2 linked regions of the Rattus norvegicus genome follow. The protein of the gene in region 2 interacts with the protein of the main gene of each other region in a pairwise test. Links are inferred from orthologs where the notes say so. Each region holds a gene or a part of one and is shown on either strand. Other genes may lie near its edges.

The links.
Region 1: the proteins of Crx (region 2) and Ppp1r16b interact in binary tests that used the Homo sapiens proteins (3 or more experiments, as listed by UniProt). The two-hybrid records come from large-scale screens. The link is inferred for Rattus norvegicus from reciprocal best matches to the Homo sapiens genes CRX and PPP1R16B.

The regions. Positions count from the first base shown.
Region 1 is NC_086021.1:167,740,032-167,750,405, reverse strand, and holds the start of Ppp1r16b (protein phosphatase 1 regulatory inhibitor subunit 16B), read right to left. Parts: upstream 6,416-10,374; 5' UTR 6,336-6,415; intron 6,180-6,335; exon of another isoform or gene 5,373-6,179; intron 4,985-5,372; exon of another isoform or gene 4,817-4,984; intron 4,762-4,816; exon of another isoform or gene 135-4,761; intron 1-134. UniProt on the Homo sapiens protein: Regulator of protein phosphatase 1 (PP1) that acts as a positive regulator of pulmonary endothelial cell (EC) barrier function. Involved in the regulation of the PI3K/AKT signaling pathway, angiogenesis and endothelial cell proliferation.
Region 2 is NC_086019.1:85,666,612-85,674,986, forward strand, and holds the end of Crx (cone-rod homeobox protein), read right to left. Parts: intron 7,399-8,375; 5' UTR 7,367-7,398; coding exon 7,267-7,366; intron 4,831-7,266; coding exon 4,679-4,830; intron 2,337-4,678; coding exon 1,689-2,336; 3' UTR 1,360-1,688; downstream 1-1,359. UniProt on the Homo sapiens protein: Transcription factor that binds and transactivates the sequence 5'-TAATC[CA]-3' which is found upstream of several photoreceptor-specific genes, including the opsin genes.

The sequences.
Region 1 (10,374 bases), on a different chromosome or scaffold from region 2:
GGGGTGGCATGCCCCGGGTCCAAGGAGCCTGTGAGAGACACAGCTGACCAAGCCTGAGCCCTGCCAAACCAGACTCTGCCCTCTACTCCTAACCCAACCAGTTTGAGGCACATACCCAGCAGCCCTCTGCCTACCTGAATTCTTCTACTTGAGGCAGAGATGGCGGGGGTGAGGGGTGGGGGTATCCTCTCTATGGTCCATGTTCCCAGTCATCATCAACCTGCCTGACTCAAAGTGAATTTTTGCTTTAATGAGCTGTGGACTTTTCAAAGTCCACATTAAAATAAGCTTTTCCAGTAAATTAGGAAAAGGGGCAGTACCGAGCTCCACAATCCCAGGGCATAAAGCACACCCCTCTCTTGAGCAGTTATAACCCCTGCTTCCTGCCCAAAGCCATTCACAAACATCAAACAGCCCCAAGAAAACAAGCATGTCTTCCTGCTGGCCAGGTTCCAAGTTATCGGGTAGATTTCACACTGTAGCTTGACCTCATTAATCCAAGGCCTATCACATTGCTGTAAATGTCAGTGGAAAAACAGCCATTCAGTGGGTTTCCTTCATTCCACCAGAAAGGGAAAAAAACAGGAAGCTGACGGCAGCTACGCCCCAGCCTAGCAGATCCCGAGAGCTCAGCTGACAGGGTGTTCCTTGTTAGCACCTATGGCCCCTTTTCCCAGCCCACCTGAGGATCTAGATGGGCCTCGTGTCTGGCACAAGCAAACGCAGCAGTAATACAGCCGTGATCCAGCTGATCCAGGCCCCCGTGCACCTGTCCAAAGGAAAATAGTAGGCATGCTCTGACAGCCTTTGGTCTGAATTACCAAGTGGCTGTTGTCCTGCAGACTCATCTCTCTCCTGCCCATTCAAATCATCCTGTAAGCCAAACCCCCGGGACTCCAGGGTGCACGAGGCCTTCCAAGTTCTCATTCATTCTTTTAATGTATGTGGATTGTCTCCCTGGCTCTGACAACCGGGGACACAGCTGAATGAATTAGATACAGCCACTGACCTCAGAGGACACAAGGTCGAGTGTAACCCATCTCAGCCTTGATGCTATTCACGTTTGGGAGCCTGGAATTTTTTGCTGTGAGGGGCTGTGCTATGCACTGCAGAATATCCCATAGCCTTCCTGGTCTCGAGGCACTAGAGGCCACGTCTTCTCCAGGTCCCTCCTAGCTGGCTCTGACAAACAGAGACACCTCTAGACACTGGCCAGAACTGTTCACAACTGAGAACTGTGGGTCTAGTGAATGAAATAGAAGACTAGGGAACAGCAAAGATGGCTTAGCTGTTGAGAACGCTGTTTGCCCGGAAAGAGGATCCAGGTTTGATTCCCAGCACCCACACGCTAGCTCACAACCATCTGTAACTCCAGTTGCAGGGGATCCAATGTTCCCTTCTGACTTCTGCTAGCACCAGGCACATCTGTGGTGCACATATAGAATCAGGCGAACACTCATGCACACAAAATCAAGTAAGTAAATCTAAAAAAAAAAAAAAAAAAACTAAATAATTTAAAAAGGAAACTAAAAGAAGAATGATTATTATGTAACTCTAGGTATGGTACAAACAGAGCCATGGATGAAAATTCAGTGGACATTGTACCAATATCATGAACAGCTTAGAAGCTACATCACACAGAGGGGTGCACCCCTATAACCCCAGAACCCAGGCTGAAATAGGAGGACTGAGAGTTCAAGGAGAGCCTCAGTACATAGTGACACACACACACACACACACACACACACACACACACACACAAAACCTTAGAAACCCATCACTCTACATCGGATCAAAATCCTTAGGAGAACTCAGAATTCTTTATATGTGCGTTATATATTCAATATATATGGTCTGGGTTTCCAGATGGAGAAATTGGGGGCCCACGGAAACGGAACCATTGCCCAAGGTCCAAAAACTGGCGGAAAGCAGGATCAGAATTCAAACCCCTAAACTTAAACAGTCATCATGGAAAAACAAACAGTTAAGCATGTGCTCGAACGCCTCCTGTCTATAGGCAGGATCTATAGTCACACGATATTCTGAGCAGTCATCCTAAAAGACTCATTCCTCCCTGGGGCCAGCTTAGGGTTTGGTCACCACCTGCCCCATCAATCAAGCTACAAACTACCCGCATAGAAGCACATCTGTGGGACTCTAGTGGAATGCCATCCTGGATTCTGAGACATCCAGGAACACCTCCCCCCACAGTCACCTGCACTCAGGAATTTCCCAAAAGTCAGGGCAGGTTCCAGGAGCATACCGTAGGGTGATCCACCTACCACTCGGCACCCAGGGGCACACAAAGTCAGAAACCAAACACTGTGCAGCCAGCTTAGAGATTTACGAAACGCATACAGGACAGCACACAGCATCTTTTTTTTTTCTTCATTCAAGGTCTCACCATGTAGCCCAGGCTATCCCTAAAATGGCTATCCTCCTGCCTCCTGACCTTCTGAGTGCTGAGATTACATACGTATTCAACCATGACGAGCAGGCATGGAACATTTTTGAAGACTTTGGCATGGGGGACCCTGTCAGGCAGAGGGAAGGAGGAGAGAAAGCTTTATGCTTGCTAAAAGAGACTGAGAAGGAATAGAGAGAACCCTTTGGTATAAAAGTAGCCCTGCTCTTCCTCCCGTGCAGAAATTAATCCTGCTCTTTCCTGGGTAACTACAGTCAGGCAACCTTTTGCAGAGAGCTGCAAAACTGACAAGGCTGCTTCGGGTCAGCGAGCATTTAACCGTGCACAGCCCCTGGCAGGATGACCTCTGACTCCTTCCCTGGCCTTCCTACCGGGACCTGCATTACACTGTTGACTGAGTTCCAGCAGCGACTCCCACCCACGGCTCCCACCCAGAGCTTTCCAGCCTGTACGCACGCACGCAGTTCTCCGTGCACGGGTGCCCATCCCTCCCTCCATTGCCCACTGCCTGGGAAAATTACCACCAAAGAGATCAAATGTGCTCCCGCAATAAGTGTGGCCCACCTGTTATTGGTAATAATAGACTAATAATAATAGCAACTAACATCTGTGAACATTTATTCATCCAGGGACAGCCCTGAGCTAAATCCTCACCCATAGCATCTCTCCTGCTCACTTTACCTCTTTGAGAGGGAAAGGATTCTGTCCGTCCAGCACAGTGTGATGGTTCAAACCTGGCATTTCCTGTGCCCTCAGTTCCCACTTCTTATTATGGAAGCTTTGACTGCACCAGACCCTCTGTCTGCAGGCCTGCCTCTCCCCTGAGATGAGAACCCCCAGAGCGACCTTGGTTATGGCAACCCCTTGCTAAGTGCAAGGTCTGTACACAGGGCCCCGGAGAAAGGATTCCCTGCAGAAGGATTCCCAATTCCCAGGACATTGCCCAAGAGACAGGCTAAGAGGCGTTCTGTATCCCCAGAACTGAAAGCAGAAGTATTACGTCCCTGTAGCCCGGGAGGGAGCAAGATCTACGAGGACCCGAGGAAAGAAAGAAACAGGTGTCACCAACAAAAGTCCCTTCTGCCTGCCTTCCAGCATCCCCATTAAGCACATCTATGATCTATGGTCTCGAGGGGTCCTTAGAGCCCAGTGGGGATGACCACGATGGGATTCTTATCACCCAGAAGAGAAAGGGGGAGGGGCTGGAAAGAGCTTTTTACACAGAGTCCCAAGCTTTTTTCAGCTCAGAGCTGTCATTTCAACTAGACTCATTCTGCTTCCTTGAGTTTTGATACTTCAGGCCGTGAGAGGCTTGTGCATGCTTCCCCCTCCCCCGAAGCTGATTTCTAAGATGTGTTGAGACAAGGGCAGTCCTCGTCTGGAATGTCCATTGAGACCCACTGTCTGCCATAGCATAACAAGCATGGGGGCTGGGAGCACAGGGTGCTGGGATGGGAGAGGGGTAAGGTCCGCAAGAGAGGGTGTCTTGGGGATCAAAACCCAGCACTTGAATCCAGGCCACCATTGCAATCTGCTGCCCTGTGTCCACGTGGTTGCTGCTGGTTGGAGCAAGTTCCCTGAGGCTCTAGTACTAAATTTTCACAAGACAGGACAAGTAGTTGGCTCAAAGGCGCTCTATAGGAAACATATAGCCTTAAAGAAAACCATTTCCCTGCCTCAGCTTCCCCTGGCTCTGTGGCTCATGAAAACACCAACAGCAAGATTAGAATTTAACCTCTGCTCCTCTGGCTCCCGGGCTCCACGAACACAGAGTACAAAGTCTGTGTGGGCACCAAACGCTGGCCTTACTTACCTGGTCCTTCTAAACCAGGAAGTCTAGACTTGGCTGAATTGTCCCATTGCAAGGGGACTTTCCCAAGTGGTCTGTGACATCTAAGCCACAAGTGAGGATCAGTTTGAAACCAAAAGGTTTTTTTTTTTTTAAGGAAGCCATTTCCAAAGGTTGAGAAGAGTTGGGGGGGTTGGGGGACAGGGGCAATGGGAGGTAGACTCCACTTGACAGAGTGGTCTGGTTGGCATCTTGCCCACAGCGTCCCAAGGACTGGGGCAGAGAAGATGGGATTTGGGTGACAGGTGGGAGAGAAGGTGGTGAGAATGTGAGTGGGAAAGGCCTTGCAAGCAGGCAGCACGATGAAAGCAGTCACCGGTCCCTACCGCCTCCTACAAGCTGGCTCTTTGTGACATAACTGAAGGAGGAAAAGTGGAACCCCACATCCCAGCCCCTGCAGAACCACCCACCAGGGCTCCACTTCTGCGCCTCGCTAGGGGACACGCCTCGCTCAAACCCTCACTGAAGGCGGGTTTGCCTAGCAGGGTCATCCATGATGCTCTGATGCACCAAGAGCTTCACGTGAGGCCTCTCTCACTTACCCTATAGCGACCATTCACCCCACTTCTTAGAGATCTATGGAGATGGGGAACCGTGAGCAGACAGCAAGTCGTCGGCTGAGTTGTGCTGAGCTCAGCCTGGAAAGAAGATCTCCCTCCCAACGGAGGTCGGTTCTCCTCTGGTACCTTACTGGCTGCAGGAAATGGCAGGATAAGGCGCACAGGGAAGTGCCCCCCCCCCGCCCCCATACTCCCGAGGGCCCGGGGCGACCGCCAGCTCCTTCCTCAGATAGCCTGGAGGGAAACAGCGCCTGGCACTATTGGGCTCCGGGTCTTCCACAGAGGGCGATTCACAGGCCGCACCTGGTGCTCCCGGCCGCCAGGAGCTGGTGGGCGCCTCTGACAGCAAGAACAGGAGCCCTTTATGAGCAGTGTAATCACATGGGCGCGCAAGCATCGGCTTTCCGTTCTAAGCGCTGTGCAGCCTCATCTCTGTTCCCCCTGCTCTTCAGATTCCAGGGGGAGCAAAGGCTCCCAGGCCTGGCCCGTGGTGGCGGCGCCCCGCTGGCTTGCAGAGAGGGCCATAGTCACAGCTCACCTAGAGACCCGATTATCCGATGCCCGGGACTGGAAGCTGCATCAGCAGCATCTTCCGTAAAGCAGGAGGCAGGGCTGGGAGGGGAGCGCAGAGGAAAGAGAGTCCGCATCCACCCCGGAGGCGGGTAGGAGCGCCTCCCGCTCCTGGTTCCCACTCGGGGCGATCTGGGCGCTCAGCGTGACCTTGTGGGAGACCCCTCAGTCGACCTCTGGGGCAGGGCTGCGCCGTTTCTGCACATCTTGGGCGCTCGGGGGCGCTGTTCCCTGCGGGAGCGGATGCGCGGGACTCGCGAGGAGTGGAGCGCTCCGGGCGCGGGGATCCGCAGCTCGCGCCTAAGGCGGCGGGCAGAGAGGCCGGGAGCATCCCTTCTGGGGAATCACCACGCCGGGGGCTACCGAGACCGACCCACAGGCTCTAGGGGTGGAGATCCCGCCCTGGGTCAGGTTTGTCCACAGGGACACCAGCCTCCGGGACTTTTCCCACCCCGGGAGCAACGCTCTCAGCGCGCTGCTGCTGCTTGCCCAGACCAAGCGCCGCCACGCGAGGGGGCGGCGCCCCCATGCCCGGCTCCTAGACCGCGTGCCCAGGGCGTCTGGTGTTCTGTAGCTTCACCACCCAGCCTTGTAACCCTGGCAGACAGTAGCCCAGACAGACCACGGACCTCACATCGCCCCCCAAAATCCACTCATTGCAGCCCTGGTCGACAACCTGCCAATGCACCCTCTACGTAGACCAGCCTCCCCATCCGAAGGCGAGACGTGGGAGACAGTGGCCCAACTCCCCGGCCTCGCACCCTCGGTACCTTTCCAGCACATCCCACCGTCACCGCACCCCCCCTCCCCAATTATCTTAAGCCACCCTCCCTTGGCCAAGGCACCCCTCTCCAGCAGCCAGACTGGAAGGGGCCGAGACACCTGCCGGATCCGCAGAGTGCAGAGAGGAATGCGGCGCCACTCAACTCACCCGCTCTCTCGAGCCCTGCCCCGGGCGGCTCCCAGCCCCGGCTCAATCCGCAGGTCCCAGAGCCGCAGCTGGTGGTGCGGCGACAGAGCCAGCTCTGCTTGGTAGCGAGCCACCGCGCCGCCTCTTGACTCCTCCCCTAAGGCGGAGCCTAAGCTCTCTGGAAAGGGGTGGGCCCGAGCAGGCCCAAGGGGCTTGTCACCACGCAACAAGAAGGTCTAGGTCTTAGCACCCTCGGGATGAAGACCCCTTTTCTGAGCTGCAGGAATTTGGAAGCAGCTGAGACACAGCCGGTCTTCAGAATAGCTCTCCTTGACTGTGCCCCACCCCTAACCTCCAGTACAGACAAGGAGTAGACAGGGTGGTATTTTATTCCCATTTGACAGGCAGACCCAGTGAGGCCCAGAAAGGGAAAATAACCTACCTATAGTGGCACAGAATGGGGTCAGTGCCCGAAAGTCAACTTCCCACGTTAAGCTTGAGTCAGAAGGCTCTCCAAATATCACGAACTTGGCCAGGCCTTATCTAGAGGACAGGGCTATATAGATAGGTCTTTTAGCTGAGAAAAGGCAACAGACTGTGGCCTGTGACGTGGATTCCAGGAAGGAAGTGGTCGTGCCTAGGCTGATGTCTGTCACCGGCTGAGGTGCAGAGGATCTAGACCCAGCTGCTTCCTTGAGGTTTCCTGCTAAGAACAAGACCCAAACCCCCTGGGTTTCTGTCATGTAACGAAGGCAGCTGCTGGACAGAAGACCCTGCAGTGTGTGCTTTCCCTGAGGGCAATGGGTTTAACTCTGTTTAATTTAATTTTGAAAGTTGCTCCTTTAAATTGCTCCTCCCCCCAGGGAGAGGGGAGAAAGTGGACAAAGAGAAAAATCCCATCCCAAACATTTTCTGGAATCCACATTCCCTGAAAGCTGACTTTGGAACAATGGGGTTCTCTTTTCCACAAAGGGCTTTGTTCCCTGCACTTTCCCAGCCTCCAGATTAGAGCCAGAGGCACCCAGGGCTAACCAGCTGGGAAAGCAACGAGAAAAGATTCACAATTTAGATCTCGGGGATCCTCGGTAATCCTGTTTGAAACACTCGCGATAAAACTCATAAAGCCAGGAGCACTGTCTAAATGTATTGGTTTCCTTTTTGTTTTAAGACAGGATCTCACTAAGCGCCCTGGCTGGCCCGGAATGGACTATGTAGATCAGGCTGGCCTTAAACTCACAGAGATCCTGCGGCCTCTACCTCCTTGGTGTTGGGATTAAAAGTGTGTGCCACTACTCCCTGCCCGATTTCCTATTTGCTCAATACATTCAGTTATTTTTCTTGGAGGAGCAAAACCCTGTGGGTTGAGTAAGGGAATATAGCTCAGTAGATAGAGTGCTTGTGCAGCAGCACAAAACTCTGGGCTCAATCCCCAGTACCCTGAGTGGGTATCAGTACCAAGTGTGGTGGCAAACGCGTGTAATTCCAGCTCTGAGGCGTACGTATGAATTTGAGGCCAGGCTATGGACACATGAGACCTTGTCTCAAAACAACAGAACCCACCTCAGGTTGGGTCCTTCTAAGTCTCCCCCAAGTCTGAAGTCCTCTTTCCTATGCCCCCAGGCTCCCCCTCAGTTCATTAATAATCCAGTTGTGAATGACGCTGATTCTGGAGCAATTAGAGACGGCAGAGCAGGTGGAGAAGGCTCCGAGTGAAGTTTAAAATAACCCAGGGGGGCATTGTTCTCAGCAGAATGTTTCCATCAAGAGCTGTGGGGGGGAGTGGGCGGGAAACCATGTATCTCTTCTAGGGCGCACTGAACTTAGAGCCTGGTTCCCGGAAACAGAGTCTTTACCGGAGTAGGGGGTTCCAAAACTGGGCGTTGTACCGTTCACTGGCATCTCTCACACTACTATACACCCAAAGGGAAGGCAGACTGTACTCAGAGGACCCCTGCTTCCTCATTTCAATCCTACCAGGAAGCTACAGCAATCAAAACAATGTGGTAAAACTGTAAGGATAAACGTACAGGCAGATGAAACGAAACTGAGACTCCGGATGGAAGGTAGGTTCTGCATCTGCAGCCAGCCCCCTTTCATAGGAGCGCCAGCTCAATGGAGAAGGAACAGTCTTTAATAAATGGCTCCGGGGAAACTGAGCCCCGTGCCAAAGGAGGAAGCCTACCCCCACCTCACACCACAAACAGAAATAACTTTAAAATGGACCAGAAAACTAACCTACTTGCTTCTGGAGTTTTACTCTATACAGTTTCACTCTATAGCTCAGGCTAGCCTGGAACATGCTATCTGGCCAAGGCTGGTCTTGAACTCCAGATCCTCCTCCCTGCTTTTCTAATGCTAAGGTGTAGACATGTGGCCACTCCTCCTGGCTCCCAAGTCTACCAGCTTTCATCTCAGACTTCAGCCTACACAACCAATCAAAATGGATCTCCGCAGTTTAAGCCATCAGTCCAGGATATTTTGTTATGGTAACCGCCAGTCAACCAATAAGGACCTACAGAATGGGGTGGGGTGGGAGAATGCTTATATCTATATCTGGTAAGGGGTTTAGAATATATAAGGAACTCTACAGCTCAGGAATAAAAAGAGAGCTCAGTTAAAAACAGGGCAAGGAGGCACCATGTGCCACGATTTACAATCTCAGGATTTGAGAGATGGAGGGAGAAAGATCAGGAGTTCAAGGTCACCTTCCCACCTTCCACCGAACAGTGAAGTATGAAGCCAGCCTGGGCTACATAAAGCTCTGTCCCAAAAGAAGAGTAAAAAAAGAGAGGAGAAGAAAAGAAAAAGAAAAGATTAGATGTGTCAGCAGATAGTCCAGAAAGTCCACTCCTGTGTGAACTGGAGAGAAATGAAACTGTCTTCACTAATATGACAAATATTCATATTATTTTTATCCATGGCAGCCAACGGGCAGGAAAAGACAAAAGGCCCACCCAATGATGGCTATGTGATAAAATATGATCTACCTATACAATGCAATATTATTTTAGAATCAAAACAGATAAAATAGGGGCTGGAGAGATGGCTCAGCAGGTGGGAGCATTTGGTGTGCAACCGTGAGGACTGGAGTTCTGATCCCAGCATTCAGGTGACGAGCTAGGTGACTCCAGCTACAGAACAGCTCACTACACACACACACACACACACACACACACACACACACACACACATACACACATACCACACACACACACACATAGACATACACATAGACACACACACCTACACACACATACACACATGCACCACACACATAGACACACACATACATACACACACAGACACACACACTCACACACACATACACACACAGAGACATACACATAGACACACACACCTACACACACACATACACCTACACACATACATACACACACAGAGACACACACACACCACACACATAGACACACACACACTCACACACTCACACACACTCACACACACTCACACACACATACACATACATACACACACAGACACACACATACACACACATATACACACACATACACAGACTCACAACACACACATACACACACATATACACACACATACACAGACTCACAACACACACACATACACACACAGACACACACTCACACATACATAAACACACACACTCACACACACATACCCACACACTCACACACACGTACACATACATACACACACAGACACACATACACACACATATACACACAGACACACAGACACACACATATACACACACATACACAGACTCACAACACACACATACACACACACTCACACATACATAAACACACACATGCACACACACACACACACACACACACACACCACTAAATGTTTTTTAAATGGAAGAGACATGCAAGAGGTTCTCAACCTGTGGGTCACAATCCCTTTGAGGTAGCATATCACATATCCTGTATATTGGATAGTTATATTACAATTAGGTTGTGAAGTAGCAACAAAGTAATTTTATGGTTGGGGTCCCCACAACATGAGGAGCTGTGTTAAAGGGTTGCAACACTAGGAAGACTGAGAAACAGTGTGCTAG
Region 2 (8,375 bases):
GTTTCTAGGCAGGGGCTGTATCCTGACCTACACTGACAGCCTCTTTTAAAATGTATCTGTGATTAAGTTTCCTAGGCAGATCTTAAACTTGAGATCCTCCTCCTCAGCTCCCAAGTGCTGGGATCCCAGACCTTCTCTATCTGTCCTGGTCCTGTGTTCCTCCTTAGTTGACTTTTAGAAGATACAGAGACAAGCATTGCCAAACAGAAAATATCCAGGAGCACACTATGGGCAGAAAGGGCAAAGCAAATCTTAATCTCTTTCTACCTAACCAAGTTTGCCCCTCCTCCCTGCCCCCCTCAAAAACACACAGAAACAAAGAGGAAAAAACACCCTGATTTAAGTGGGATCCAACATCTTTAATCAGTTTCACTCTGGGTAGCCAGGGAAGGGAGATCTGAGAGGCTCAGAGGAAAGGCGTGAACAGAGAAGTTAACATTAAATGACCTTGTCATTCTATGTCCATTTGTCTCATTAGTCTTGTGACTTGGAAAGTAGGATTTGCAGTTGTGGGGGTTGGGGGGAGTGCAAGAGGGTTTTATATAGCCCAGGCTGGCCTCAAATTTGCTTTGTAGCCTAGAATGACATTGAACTCATTATCCTCCTGCTTCCACCTCCCTCGTGTTGAGATCACAAGCATGTGCCACCACTCCTGGCTTATGAAATAGAATATTGTCCATGGGCTGGAGAGATGGCTCCACAGTTAAGAGCATTGACTGCTCTTCCAGAGGTTCTGAGTTCAATTCCCAGAAACCACGGCCATCTGTATGGGATCTGATGACCTTTCCTGGTGTGTCTGGAGATAGCTAATGTGTACTCATACAAATAAAATAAGTCTTTTTAAAAAATAATATTGGACATACTCTGTGGATGTCTAAAAGACCTCTACCCGATTCAACTCCTATAGGCATCTGAAAGACTTCATCACTTGTGCTCCCTCAATCTGACCCTAGGGATCTCTGACTGAGGCACCTTGGGCTCTAGAACATTCTATTTATCTTTCAAGTCCTCCCCAATATTTACATCAAGCTTCTTCTGCATTTTGATTTTATACAAGCCACAGCATCCCAGTGCAGTTTGGTGGCTCATGCCTGTAACGTACATACAGGCACATAAATCATATATACATGTCCAAATGAACAATCTCCTAAACCTACCATGTAAACCTGATCTTTAACTGTATAAATTTTCCAAACGAATTTAGAGGTCTCACTTCATAGTCCAAGCTGGCCTCAAGTTCCCACAATCCACCTGCCTCAGCTTCTTCCATGCTGGGATTATGAACATTGAGTCACCACATCTGGCTTAGGGTACCAGGAGTTCTAACCCAAACATTCTCCAAGTCACTTGCGAGACAGATTTTCTTTCTCTCCAGAGCAAGTTCTCAGCACCTTTACTGAAGACTGGGGAAAGCATCAGATATACACATCGGTCATGCTATCTACTGGTTGCTGCTGGACTGTCTTGGGAGAGGAAGTCCCTTTCATTGCTTGGGGTAGGTGGTAAAGGGGTTAAACTCTAATGGAGCTGAGGGTGGCCTACACCTGGGGCTGAATTTTTCACAGCCTTTGGCAGGATTGCTACTTGCTGATGCTTGCTGAGAGCTACTCTCCTGGAATCTAAGCAGGAGGTGGCAGCCGGAGTCCAGAGAGGGTGATTCCGCTGGAAGGGAGAATATGAAGCCTCTTCTACAAGATCTGAAACTTCCAGGCACTCTGATCTTTGTAGTCCAGAGGGTCCATGGGATTGTAGGTGAATTTCCAGGTGCCTGTAGGGTCCTTGAATTCCAGGCTGTCCACGGGGCTGTAGGTGCTATAGCTCTGGCCTGACAAGGAGGTGGGGGACTGGGCCAAGGATGGCCCCACAGAGGGGCCCGAGAGGGGGCTGAGAGCCGGACCCCCTAGCTGGGGCACCATGGGAGAAAGGTATGGATCCAACCCACTGAAATAGGAGCTTGGAGATGCATAAGCTGAAGGTGAAGAACAGAAAGCAGAAGCAGGGGCATAGGTCATGGCATAAGGGGCTGAGGTGAGAGAGGACCCTGAAGCCACTAGGCCAGCTCTCTGGGCCTCAGGCAAAGGAGACTCTGAGGCCGGACTCCAGATGGATACGGTGGCCACTGCTGTGGTAGGTGAACCTGAGGGACCAGGCAGAGATGGGCTGTAGGAATCTGAGATGCCCAAAGGATCTGTACAAACATCTGTAGAGGGTCTCGGGGATGTGCCTGCCTTCCTCTTCGCAGGACGAGCCTTGGCTTGTACCCCTGGGGGCTGCTGCTGCTGTTTCTGCTGCTGCCTCTGCTGTCTGCATTTCGCCCTGCGATTCTTGAACCAGACCTAGATAGAGAGAGGAAATATGGGGAGAGGGGGGATAAACCTACATGCCAAAAGAAGACAAAGTTGATGGTAAGACCCACACATCACCACTCTACATCCAATGATAGGGCAACTCTGTCCATGATCTGTGTACCTATCCAATCATGCATGTACACATGCACACAGCAACCTACATGCACTGATCACACACATTTGAAACATGCAATCATACGTACATGCATTTATCAGTTGTCATGCATCATCTACTTACCTGATTGATCACGTATGCATGCATACAATCATACATTATTCTCACATAATATGTATGCAGTCACACATACATACCTATATGCATTGACACCCACCTGATCCCATGAATATGTATACAATTATGCATTGTCCATATATGCAATCGTATACATATGAACATATATTTATGTGTTTCTGCTTATGAATGCATGCATTATATTGACATATCATACATATAGTCATGCACATATGAACACATTATATTAACATGCTCCTTACTCATGACTATGTATATGTAATCATACATGCATTATATTCACATATCATACATGCAATCATATATCTGTGCATAAGTACACATATATACATATTCTCATCAGCTAATTTCATAGCATGCACGCACTTAATTTTACATATAGATATAACAATACCAAAGCTAGAGATGTAGCTTAGTTGTAGAGCATTTGCCTGGCTCTGGGTTCAATCCCCCACACTGCAGAACACACACACACACACACACACACACACACACACACACACACACACACATTTCTCTTACCCACTAATCCTCTCAGTCACCTAATAATCATGTACCACCCAGCCTTTATTGCTTAAAGGGAACATCAGAGGGGTTAGTATTCTACTCTGGTGAGGAATATTACTGTTGGCCTAAGTGGGTAAGCCATACAGTTGGGGTGGAGGCTCACTCTAGGTAGCAAGACTGTCTTCAAGCTCAAAGCAATCCTCCTGCCTCAGCCTCTCAAATGCTGAGGCTACAGGTGTGAGCCTAGCATGTTTAGTGTGGTATTCTAGAACTGGTCGGACTGAAAGAAGCTGTCAAGTAAGATGGATACGAGGTAGCATTTCAGCCAAAAACTGGCATTTCAGTTTGAAATTTAAAGCACTGTGATCCATGTGAGTCTCCTTGATTTATAAGATGACTTGATTAATTGACTGGTTGTTGCTCAATAACCGTGATGATGAAACAAGTCCTCTGAAGCTAGGCTTAATAGCACAGACCTGTTGTGATCCTTGCTCTTCAGGAGGTTGAAGCAAGAAGATATGAAGATCAGGGTTTGCCTGAGCTGCAAAGTAAGTTCAAAGCCAGCCTGTGTGACTTAGTGAGACTCTGTCTCCCAGTGCCAATGCTCAAGTGGATGGTGCCACTCCCATGCACATATAAGCAGCACAAACTTGACCCAGTGGGTTTTAAAAGAGGAAGAAGAGGAGGAGGAAGAGAAGAAAAACAAAAAGGACATGAATGAAGCTAAAAGAGAAATGGAAGAGGAGGAGGCTCCTGGAGGTATTGGAAAGAGAGAGTAGAACTGACCTTAATTCATTGTATCCATGTATGAAATTACCCAAAGAATAAAGTTTTATTGCTTATTTAGTTTTTCTAAAGTATAATACATCATTTCCATATTTCTTTCCCTTCTTCTAAATCAAAGAATAATTTTTGCCCCTCCCCAGAATAATTTTTTAAAATGATAACTGCACTCATGTGCACAGACACATACATGAACATAATTAAAAATAAAATATGCACACACACTCAGCATTTGGGAGCCAGAGGCAGGTGGATTGCTGGTACTGGTCTACGTAGTAAGACCGTTGCCTCAAAATTAGTTTTAGCCAAGTAGCAGTGGCATACCCCTTTAAATCATAGAACTCGGGAGGCAGAGGCAGACAGATCTCTGTGAGCCTCGTCTATGGAGTGAGTTCCAGGACAGTCAAGGCTACATACACAAAAGAACCCTGTCTTGAACTAAAATAAATAAATAAACAAACAAACAAACATGTAAATACATAAATATCAAGATAAATAGTTTTAAGATTAAAAAACAAGAGAGATGATGATATATCTCAGTGGTAGGTCACGTGCATATGTGAGGCCCTGAAAGAAAACAGAGTACAAAGGGAAGGAGAACCCTTGGAGGACAGTGTGGTGAGAAGGCATCATATAAGAAGAGTGATATAAGGAATGTGAAGGGCATTTAGGCCATTTCATAAATATGCTACCCTTGGCCTCTTTCCTTCATGCACTCTGGATTTGACAAGGGCCCACAGAAGGTTACAGTAAGGGTTCAAGGGGTCCACGGAGCAGATCATCCTACCTGGACCCTGGACTCAGGCAGGTTGATCTTGAGAGCAACCTCCTCACGTGCATACACATCCGGGTACTGGGTCTTGGCAAACAGGGCCTCCAGCTCCTCCAGCTGGCTCCTGGTGAACGTGGTCCGCTCCCGCCTCTGCTTCCTAGGGGCACCTAAGTGGGGGCAAATTAAAGAACCTCAGGTGGTGGGTTCGGTCCCCAGCTCCGAAAAAAAGACCAAAAAAAAAAAAAAAAAAAAAAAAAAGAACCTCAGGTGGGCTAGGTCTGCTTGCTAGAGGCTAGGAGGTACAGAGGAATGCCTGTCCCAAAGTCCTTTCTGCACATCCATCAGCCTAAAGAAGGGGCTTTGATTGATTCCCTGGCCTTCTAGTGGTGGCTCAGTCCCCAGAGGAATTAAGAGAAGTATTCCAATCATTCATTCACTGGATTTGCCCCTCATTTTGTCTGTTTCATTCCTAACCCCTCCTTCCCTTTCTTCTCTTCCTTCTCCTCCTCTCTCTGCCCTTCCTCCTCTCTTCCTCCTTCTCTCTCTTCTATCCTCCCTTTACTCTTCCCCTCCCTTTTCTCCCTCCCCTTCTCTCTCATTACAACAGACTTTCACTACATAGCCCACACTGGCCCTGAAATCATGGACTCAAGAGATCCTCCTACCTCAGCCTCCCAAATATCTGCGGGCACAGTCACTGCACCAGACTCCCCTCTTGAGACTTTTTTAAATATTTTTTTATGTACATGAGTACACTGTTGTTGTCTTCAAACACACCAGAAAAGGACATCAGATCCCATTACAGATGGTTGTAAACCACCATGTGGTTACAGGGAATTGAACTGAGGATCTCTAGACGAGCAGTCAGTGCTCTTAACTGCTGAGCCATCTCTCCAGCCCGTCTCTTGAAACTTTTTATACTCTTAAGATATATTTGGTTGAGACATGGTGTTATCAATAACCATGACTCCTGCTTATAAAAGTGGTTCAACTTAATGTAAAAGAAAAAGGGGGCCAGCAAGATGGTGCAGCATGTATAGACACTTGTGACCAAGCCTGAGGACCTGAGTTCAATCCCTGGGACCCAACATAGAAGGGAAAAAACTACTCCCAAAAGTTGCTCAGACCTCAACAAGGGAGCCATGGCAAACATCCCTCCTGCTCCCTACCCTTCATGCAAAAATAGTGTTTTATTTGTTCTTCAAAGAAAGAGAAAGGCTAGATAGGTGGCTCCTGCCTTTAATTCCAGCACTCAGGAGGCAGAAACAGGCAGAACTCTGTCAATCTATAAAGAAACCTGGTCCACATGGTGAGTTCCAGGCTAAGGCTACATAGTGAGAGTCTGTTGAAAGGAAGGGAGGGAGGAAGAGAGGGAGGAAAGAAGGAAGAAAAGAAGAAAGGATGAAGGAAGAAAGGGAGTGAGAGAGGGAAGAAATAAAAAGGAAGAGAAAGAAGAGAAAGGCAAATGAGAGAGAGAGATCTGTTAAATAATAATGTATCATAGTAGAGCATGATGGTGAAGGACTTAAATCTCAACACTCTAGAGTCTTGAATCAGGAGGCTGGGACATGCTCAGTTATATAGAGTGAGGGGCTGGGGGCGTGGCTCACTGGTAGAGCCCCTGCCTAGAATCCCCCAGTGAGGGGCTGAGGGTGTGGCTCAGTGGTAGAGCCCCTGTCTAGAATCCCCCAGTGAGGAGCTGGGGGCATGGCTCAGTGTTAGAGCCCCTGCCTAGAATCCCCCAGTGAGGGGCTGGGGGGCGTGGCTCAGTGGTAGAGCCCCTGCCTAGAATCCCCCAGAGAGGGGCTGGGGGTGTGGCTCAGTGGTAGAGCCCCTGCCTAGAATCCCCCAGTGAGGGGCTGGGGGCGTGGCTCAGTGTTAGAGCCCCTGCCTAGAATCCTCCAGTGAGGAGCTGGGGGCGTGGCTCAGTGGTAGAGCCCCTGCCTAGGATCCCCCAGTGAGGGGCTGGGGGCGTGGCTCAGTGGTAGAGCCCCTGCCTAGGATCCCCCAGTGAGGGGCTGGGGGCGTGGCTCAGTGGTAGAGCCCCTGCCTAGAATCCCCCAGAGAGGGGCTGGGGGTGTGGCTCAGTGGTAGAGCCCCTGCCTAGAATCCCCCAGTGAGGGGCTGGGGGCGTGGCTCAGTGTTAGAGCCCCTGCCTAGAATCCCCCAGTGAGGAGCTGGGGGCGTGGCTCAGTGTTAGAGCCCCTGCCTAGACTACTACAGCTATGGTGGGGCATAGTTCCATGCTAATGTGCCTACCTAGAAGCCACAAGGCCCTGGATTACAGCCCAACAACCACTACTCCAAAAAGAGAAAAAGAAAAAGCTTTACAAAGAGATGGAATCCTCCTGATTCTTCTTCCAGACCAGTTCCCTTTCCCTCTTCTCCCTCCAAAGGGAGTCAATGTCATGACTATTTACTCCTCTGAATTCCCGGGGAACATGTAAAAGTGCCTGGAATACCAAACTCCTTTGCAAATGGACATAGAGCTGGTACAAGTTCCCACTGCCCCCTCCACCCCAGGAATGCTTTTTCTCCTGAGGGCAATGAACCTCAGAGGTTCTTAAAAGACAGACTGAAGGTTAGAAGGAGAACACACTTACTTGAGTATGGGACAGCCTGGTGCATCAGGTCCACACTGGGGCCACTCAGGGCCAAGGCATTGACCGAATAGTGAGGTCCCGGGTTCATATACGTCATCATGATCTTCAGAGACTAGGGCCCAGATTGGGTGCCTACAAGAGAACAGGGTGTTCATCCTACTTCAGGTCTTCTTTGGGATCCAACCAACCTTGCCCATCAAAATCAATCTCTCTCTCTCTCTCTCTCTCTCTCTCTCTCTCTCTCTCTCTCATTTTTAGAGGCAAAGTGTTGTGGTATATTCATTTTCTCCCAGCTGAGGAGGCAGAATTCTGTGACTTTGAGGCCATCCTGGTATCCTGGACTACATGAGTTTCAGGGCCTCAGTTCCTAGCTCTGTGTAATTGTCATTTTTATTTCCTCAGATGAAGTGATGAGATGAGAGCTGTACCCAAGGTGTGTGAATACACAACTTGGGCTGAGCCGGGAGTGTTTTTATCTAACTATCCCTAGGCCTAGCCCTGGAAGCTTCAAACCCTCATACAATCCAATCTTCTACAAGCCCAAACTTTGAAGGCCTCCATCTGTTCAATCTAGGCCTAGAATATTTCAACTCTAAGACATACTGAGTAAGTTCACCCTTTCTACCTCTTTCTGAATTCTGGCTAGCTGGTTCAATTCGACTGTCTGGCTCAAACACCTCCACAAGCTGGTTGATTCAGACTGGCTTCTTTCTGCTTCTGACTGAATTGTTCTGCTTGGGAAAACAACTTCTAAACTCCATAAACTGAACTACACTGACTTCACTGACTGACAAACTGGACAGAACTGCATTCAACTGAACTGCACCAAATGCAACTGAACTCAATCCAACTCCTCTCCCTGCAATGTTCTTAAGTAGCCTCTTTCCTGTCTGTTCTTATGGGAGGTATATATACTATGGTATATATATATATATATACTATCTCTGACTCATTCTGTCAAATCTTTCTTTGATTCATCATTTTGTCAGTCCTTCAATTTAGACATCATTGTTTGGAATTAAAGGTGTATCCTGTGGGCTTATCTATATTCCAGCCAAAAGGATTAAAAGAGTGTACTAAGGGTGTGTCTGTTCCAGCCAGATCACATA